2 linked regions of the Caenorhabditis elegans genome follow. The protein of the gene in region 2 interacts with the protein of the main gene of each other region in a pairwise test. Each region holds a gene or a part of one and is shown on either strand. Other genes may lie near its edges. The genes, in order: ndc-80 and rod-1.

What was found.
Region 1: the proteins of rod-1 (region 2) and ndc-80 interact in a two-hybrid assay, tested with the Caenorhabditis elegans proteins (one study listed by BioGRID).

Annotation. Positions count from the first base shown.
Region 1 is NC_003282.8:10,084,208-10,088,131, reverse strand, and holds the start of ndc-80 (Kinetochore protein ndc-80), read right to left. Parts: upstream 1,996-3,924; 5' UTR 1,986-1,995; coding exon 1,873-1,985; intron 1,826-1,872; coding exon 1,423-1,825; intron 1,371-1,422; coding exon 1,083-1,370; intron 1,036-1,082; coding exon 676-1,035; intron 598-675; coding exon 494-597; intron 447-493; coding exon 318-446; intron 246-317; coding exon 1-245. Other genes in the region: col-2 (Cuticle collagen 2), read left to right, coding at 2,695-2,974, 3,022-3,647; W01B6.8 (uncharacterized protein), read left to right, coding at 3,759-3,924. UniProt on the Caenorhabditis elegans protein: Acts as a component of the essential kinetochore-associated ndc-80 complex, which is required for chromosome segregation in mitosis and meiosis and spindle checkpoint activity.
Region 2 is NC_003282.8:7,476,234-7,480,157, reverse strand, and holds the start of rod-1 (Kinetochore-associated protein rod-1), read right to left. Parts: upstream 1,707-3,924; 5' UTR 1,706-1,706; coding exon 1,609-1,705; intron 1,554-1,608; coding exon 1,401-1,553; intron 1,354-1,400; coding exon 1,058-1,353; intron 1,001-1,057; coding exon 608-1,000; intron 565-607; coding exon 1-564. Other genes in the region: pycr-4 (Putative pyrroline-5-carboxylate reductase 4), read left to right, coding at 2,869-2,977, 3,036-3,289, 3,358-3,894. UniProt on the Caenorhabditis elegans protein: Essential component of the mitotic checkpoint, which prevents cells from prematurely exiting mitosis. Required for chromosome segregation, the assembly of the dynein-dynactin and mdf-1-mdf-2 complexes onto kinetochores and spindle pole separation.

The sequences.
Region 1 (3,924 bases), 2.6 Mb from region 2:
GTATGTGTTCTTCTCCAGTTGCAGACATTCTGGCGGTCTCATCTTCGATTTCTTTCTCGAGGCTTCCATCAAGTTTCATTTGCTTTAGAAGTACTTCTTTTTCATTCAATAGTTGTTCATATCGTTGTTCAATATGTTTGCGAGCATCTTTCCAGCTATCACGTTCGTTTCGACGAATTCGTTCTTCGCGAGCCTCATTCTTCTTCGCTTCACAGAGTGTTTCGCTTTGAATTTGGATTCTTTCTCTGAATTATTGTTTATAAATGTGTATATTATTAACATTCAATGGAACGGCGCTTAATTCGAGTACAACTTACTCTGCGGTAACTGCTTTATTTGAAAATCTTGACTGTTCAGTCTCAAGCTCAAGCTTTCTCTGATGCAACTGTCGGCTGATCTCTGGAACCCATATCTTGTTCAACGTCTCCCAGTAATCCTTAAGATCTCTGAAAATGTAGATTTGTGAATTTTTAATAAATTGTTAGAAATTTACCTTTCATTCGTTGGAGCTCTTAGTGGTTCAAGATTCATTTGAATATTAAGTCCACTGAGAATTTTCATGATTTGTTCTGCGAGATGAATGAATTTGGACTTTTGCTGAAACATACAAATTTGATTGTCATACAAGTATTTCCGTGAATGATAGGCATTCAACTTTCCAAAAACCTAGAATACCTCTTTGAAGAAGTCTTCATCTTTGAGTTTCCATGTTTCTTTTGATAGACGATCCAACTCGCTTTGAATTTCCAGTACCACCTCCTTGTCTTTATTATTGTCAAGATTCATTTGACGCACTTCTTTTCCTGTCAATCCGTGAATTTGTTTTTGCAACTCAATTTTGTTCTTCAGATCGTCCACCATCTTTTGCACTTTTTCATTTTCTGAAATTTTCTCCTCTTGCTCCGACTTCACCATAGCCAGTTCTTTCTCCATATGCTGCTTAACATGAAGATTTTGCTCGAGATAATCTTTAGCTTTTCGGATGTCGTCTCTGATTCTTGATATCTCTTCTTTTAAGCTTGCTTCGTTTCCTTTCTGAAAATAAAACTTCTTTAAAACAAAAGTATCGAAATTCTACTTACATCAGCCTCTATCTCATCACATTCGTAATTGAGCATCTCCAGAGCTGATGCAGCTGTTTTAGTCATATCCTCGAATTCATTGGATTGCTCGAAATACTTCCGTAGACGATGCTTCGTGTCGTCCCAGTATGAAGAACTGGGATTTTCTGCTGCTTTTCGATCATTTGTATAATCTCTGAATGTACTTGTCATCCATGCATAATTGAGCGTTTTTTCTTGAGCTTTTCCCTGTTCCATGAAATCACCGAACAGGATATTTTGTGTGTCCTCACTGACAGCAGAATTGATCTAAATGGTTAAATAAATAGGGATGAAAATAATAAAAAAATCAGTTACTAACTCTAATGATATCAATAAGCCAAGAAAGTGCGTCAAGAAGATGTGGATATCCATGAGAAGATCCCATTGGTTGGTAGTAGCTGTTTTTGAGTGGATACGGGTATCCAAGACCTTTGAATATCTGGGACACCTCCTCTTCAATCCGCTCATGCCGTGGAAATTCGTAGTCTTTACTGAGATGTTGGTAAATTAATTCGAAACAAGCAATGAAATCATTCTTTCCACGAGGTTTCATAATGAGCTGTTCTGATGGTGCATCCGAGCTTTCATATTCCACAAGAAAGTTGTAAATTTTGCTTCCATTTAAGCTGACCAATGATTTCACATCTCGCGGAGCAACTGATGAATTTTTAGTATTAAACAATGACACACGAGGTTGACTCAGACTGGGGCGAGCGTCAGTTCTGCAAATTAGATTAGTTCTTCATCGCACGAAATTGGATATTTTTACTTTCTGACTGATGTTGATCCAGTATAATCGGTGAATCTTTTAGTCGGAGTGATAGCGATTGAGGCACGTCCGTTGAGATTCAAGCCGCCCGTTTTTCTTCGATCTCCAAACATTGTCAAGAAACTGTAATGAGCGAATAAAATTGACCAGAACTGAATATACTAACGGAAGGCGACGCATATAAAATTTAAAAAAATAATTCTGGCAACTATTGAGAACTTTGTTTTCCAACTTAAAGAAGAAAAAACATTTTTACAGAAATATTTATGAAAAAAAAAACGAAAATAGAAATTTGAGTAAAAACAATATCGAGAGAGAGAGAGAGAAGTCACATTTGAATTTTCCCGCTATAGCAATTGTGATTGGAGCGCACTTACATTACAGAGACGCTGCACTCGCGAGGAAACTGATTTCCGGAGATTCCAGAATGAAGGAATTGTTGGAACTTTTGAGATATAATTTCAAACACGATTAATATACAATAGAATTGAATTTTCCTACAATGGTTAGATCATTTCCAGTCGGTATATTGATAAACAGAAGTTGCCCCTTAATATTTGCATTTTTGTAATTGAAGTTTCCAGCCAATAATTACGTCAAATTTTTTTTCTTCGAGAAACTGATATAGTTTACAATAATAAACCAGTATCTTTAACCAATGGAGTGATAACACAGAACTGGATCCTCTTATTCTTTCTCTTTTCTTTCTCCTTAACAAGAACAATTATACCAGTTCCAAGTAATAGCCATGGACGTCTCTAGTATAAAAACATCAGTTCTTTTGGAATTCTTCAGTCCATCACTCACCCTCCAACAGTAATCATGGACATCGACGCTCGTATCAAAGCTTATAAATTTGTTGCCTATTCGGCAGTCACCTTCTCGGTTGTCGCCGTTGTCTCTGTTTTCATCACATTGCCAATGGTTTATAACTATGTTAATAATGTGAAGAAACAGATTCACACTGATGTTAATTTCTGCAAGGTTTCTGCTCGTGATATCTGGAGTGAGGTGCATCTTATTAAGGATGCTCCAGGAAACAATACTCGTGTTGCTCGTCAAGCTTATTCCACTGGAGGAGCTGGAGGAGGCGGAGGCGGAGGTAAGGATCTTGGTTCACAGAGTTTAAGTATTTGAATACATTTTCAGGCGGCGGAGGATGTGATGGATGCTGCAATCCTGGACCACCAGGACCAGGTGGATCTCCCGGAAAACCAGGAAAGCCAGGAAAGCCAGGAGCTCCAGGAGCCCCAGGAAATCCAGGAAAAGGAGCATCAGCTCCATGTGAGCCAGTTACTCAACCACCATGCCAACCATGCCCAGGAGGACCACCAGGACCAGCTGGTCCAGCCGGACCACCAGGACCACCGGGACCAGATGGAAACCCAGGATCACCAGCCGGACCATCAGGCCCAGGACCAGCCGGACCACCAGGACCAGCAGGACCAGCCGGAAACGACGGAGCCCCAGGAGCCCCAGGAGGACCAGGAGAACCAGGAGCATCCGAGCAAGGAGGACCAGGAGAGCCAGGACCAGCTGGACCACCAGGACCAGCCGGACCAGCCGGAAATGACGGAGCCCCAGGAACCGGAGGACCAGGACCAGCTGGACCAAAGGGACCACCAGGAGCTGCTGGAGCACCAGGAGCTGACGGAAACCCAGGAGGACCAGGAACCGCTGGAAAGCCAGGAGGAGAAGGAGAGAAGGGAATCTGCCCCAAGTATTGTGCTATCGACGGAGGAGTCTTCTTTGAGGACGGAACCCGACGCCGCTAAATTTAGAAGCGTGCCGTTTGTGCCAAATAAAGCATTTTTCATTCAACTTCTTTGTTTATAACATCTACATACCACACGAAGAAATATTTTTAAAAACGTAATCCTCGAAATATGTTCAATAATTTTCCATTTTCAAAATTTCCGTTTATTTCTCAATATTTCAATATAACATCTGAGGGGTGTTCAAGCAAAATAATGTGCTTGTATTCACAAATATCAATTATTCTGTTTTTATTCTGGTCGTTAATGTTACAACTCATCATTGGAACGACTTGTG
Region 2 (3,924 bases):
ACGACTTGGTTCGTTTTCTTCTGGACCAGCAATGATTCGATAAGTTCCCCACGTGTAGCAAAGTGCCTCAATCATTTTCAGAATATCCAGATCCGTTATTCTGCGCTTCTTTGCATGAGTCAAGTAGGTGCGGATACGATCACAGCGCCGACTCATTCCAACAAGAGTGAAGTATGTTTCAGCAACCATATTATGATCTTGAATTTGTCCCATCTTCGTCATCAGAGTCTCAAAAGATTCATCGCTTTCATCACAAGAGTCCATCAGATAATGTACGTGTCCTTTGTAAACCTTTTGTACATCCAGCATGAATGCCATGGCGAACTTCTCAGCTTCTTCAAATCTGTTATTCTTCAGAAGAGATTCGAAACGCATTTCAGGGCGAGACTGTGAGACTTGTCTGACAACAATTTGACTGCCGTCCTGTTCGTCTGCCAGAGAATTTTCCAATTCTTCAACGGCTATCAAGACACGATCACTTCCTCCATAAGCAAAAAGAGTTGTAGACGTGGATGAATCCAAAGCGAAACAATTGTCTTTATTCAATCGATCGTATATCATCATCTAAAAAGAAATTATTAAAATTTAACAAATACGATTCAAATACCTTTGTGCTATCTCCGTCACGTGGCAGAACCAAAATTGCGAACATCTTCGGAACTTCAACTTCATTCTTGTCAATGATCACAAAATCAAGAATTTTGTCGTCTGGAGACATCTTCATGTCAAATTCGTGGCAGAAGGATGATACCAATGAATCAAAGACATGAATCCATCCATCCGTGTCGAGGTGAAGAGAGAATCTACCTCCATCACGGACTTGCAAGAATTGTTTTTCCATGCCAATCACCTCAAACTCCGATTCGACGAGACCACACCAGTGAATCCCTCTTTGCTGATCAATTGAAGCGAACGTCTGAAGTGGCCCATTGGAGATCAGAGTAATGTCACCTGCGACCTTCGACATGTCAACAGACTTTGAAACCGTTTTTCCCATTGCCTGAAAAGAGAGTATTAAAATTAATTTGAAACTTTAAATGAATGTGATGAGCGTTACCTGGTGGAAAAATTCCTGAATCTGATCTCTGTGCCAATTTTCGAAACGGTTAGTCTCCTTAGATGCAGCCACGTCTCCTGGCAATGTGATAGTATGCCAATTATCAGATCGGCTCCCGAAAATCAATTGGCAAACACTGGAAGTAGTGTGACAGACAACGAAGTCAATTTCATGAGGAGCTGGCTCGTTCAAGTAAATTTCTTGTTTATCCAGCGAGAGAATTACAATACGACGATGTTCAATGACTCCAACAAAGAAGGAAGAACTTCCAAGGATTTCGAAATCAGTGATGGCTCCTGAAAATGTTGAGAAATCATTCCAGAGACTCTGAAATAGCTCATACCTCCAAGTCCGGTGTTGAACGAGTAGTCGCTTTTCTCGCCAAGACTGAAGACTGCCAGATCGGAGCACGACGCAAGAACAAGAAATCGCTCGTTACTTTTCGGTTTGAGCTTCCATGCCGGAGATTTCTTATCGATTGACATCTCATTTAACACTGAAACATACATTTAATTACATTAATCATAAAGATAATAGTTTTATTTTCTTACGGGGAAGGATTCGCCCAACGGTGCACACATCATAAAGGCCCACAGTCGACGTTTCCGCTTCCAAGTCCACAGCTTTTGCTTCGCCTAGGCGACCCATTCTGCAAATACGACATTATAATACACTGGTATCTCTAATTAAAAAATTTAACAGAAGAACGATTATAAAAATGAGTGAACAATTTCATTTCAAAAAATGTTTTTCGCCGCCGAAATAAGTGTCAGCAGGGCGCAATTTCCAAGTGTTAGAGTGAGAGAAACAAGACTTTTTTGAACCAAATAGTTGAATTTTGAAGCAAAAAACCAATAACTAAACACGAAAAGCGTTTCAAATCTCATACATTTCCTTACCTTTAACTGTGTTGAACAAAAATTAAATAATGAAAAACAATTAACACATTCAGTAAAAATTGATCGAAACGTGGAAATTACGTGTTCCTAACTATACAGCTTTTTTAAACGTAATTTTAGACCGGAAAACTTCTTTAAATTCAGAAATTTCACTATATTTATCAAAAATAAATAGTCTGAAACGATTTATTAGGATGAGGCGAGAAAATAACTGAAAATTAAAATGATATCCAAAAGAATTAAGATTCGTGTAAATATAGAGAAATTCGCGCCTAAAATTTGCGCGGGCAGGCGAAAAAAGACCGTAGTTTTTCGTCCCAAAACCCATCTCCAATATTCAGCATGCGCCTTTAATATGTCTACCGTATCTGCTCAGATGTTTCAAGTTTTTATCATAAATAAAATAATTTTACATTTTTTAAAGAAATTTTGAAGTGTTTATTTTCTGTGTTTCACCTGTTCCTACTGTTTTGTTCGTGGTTTGAACGTTTTGAATTATTTTCCAGAGCAGGATGACAAAACTGAACCGATGACAAATATATTTTATTATCTATACGGCCTCTGGAATGATGACAAAATAATCATCTAGGTGACTTTCTGTGCCTTTCACGGTTTTAAGATACAAATTTTTATAGAATACTAGTTTTTCATGTCAATTTCGGTACTAAAATGATCCCAGCATGTACCATAATATATCTTATTGTAACTTTTATATAAATGGAGACTTAGACGTCTAGACGTCTAACAAGAGACATAAAATAGAACCCAGTTATATGTTAAACGCACAGAGACGCAGTTGAGAAACAGAATCTCGTTAAGCGGGCAAACCTCTGCTCATGTCTTCTTCTTTTTTTTTTAATATGTTGCTTTTTGTTGTGTCAAAAACAATTATTATTGATTTCAGTCAAAACCATGACTATCGATACTGAATTGACAAACGGGTCCTCAGAGTCTGTGCCATTCGTGTTCATCGGAGGTGGAAATATGGCCGCTGCAATTATAAAAGGATGCCAGAATAAAGGTGAGTTAAAAAATTGTTCTCCTCGTTGATTTGAATTAAATTGTTTTCTAATTTTTAGGCTTTACACCGAAAAGCAATATTGTAATTGGCGTTCAAACGGAAAAATCGGCTGAGAAATGGAGGCAACTAGGATATAAAAACGTTTTCACAAACACACTGGAAATGCTGGAAAGATATTCGACGGCAATCTATGTGATTTGTGTGAAACCTCAAGTTTTCGAAGAAGTTGTGTCAAGCTGGCCTGTAAACTCAAGACCAGAATTTATTATTTCTGTAATGGCTGGAGTTCCATTAAAAGTTCTCAACGCGAAGGTGATTACTATAAGCAGTTATAAAATAATTTTAGAAATCATAATTTGCTGTACATAACATTTTTCCAGTTGCCATTCGTTTCGGGAAACACTACCATTGTTCGTTTGATGCCAAATGTAGCAAGTTCTATTGGAGCCGGCGCCTCGACGATGTGCTATGAAAAGAATGAAAAAATTATGAATCAAGATTCTCACATCGAATTGGCACGCGAGTTCGCCGAGTGTGTTGGAACTGTCGAACTTATCCCAGAAAGATGCTTTAACCCGGCAATGGCTATTGGAGGGAGTAGTCCTGCATGGACATTTATGTACATCGAATCACTGGCAGATGGAGCCGTCGCACAAGGGCTCGGACGAGCAGAGGCTAAAAGATTAGCTGCTCAAGCAGTACTCGGAGCAGCTCAAATGGTGCTCAATTCGAACTCTGGATTTGATATTGAAACTCAGCACTTTGGATCCCTCAAAGATATGGTTTGCTCCCCTGGCGGTACAACGATTGAAGGTGTTCGGGCACTTGAGAAGAACGGATTCCGTTACGCTGTTATGGAAGCTGTGGTAGCTGCCTCGACCAAGGCCGATGAAATGGCAAAATCTCTGGCCAAGTGATTAAGTTAGATTTTGTAATGCTTTTCACAC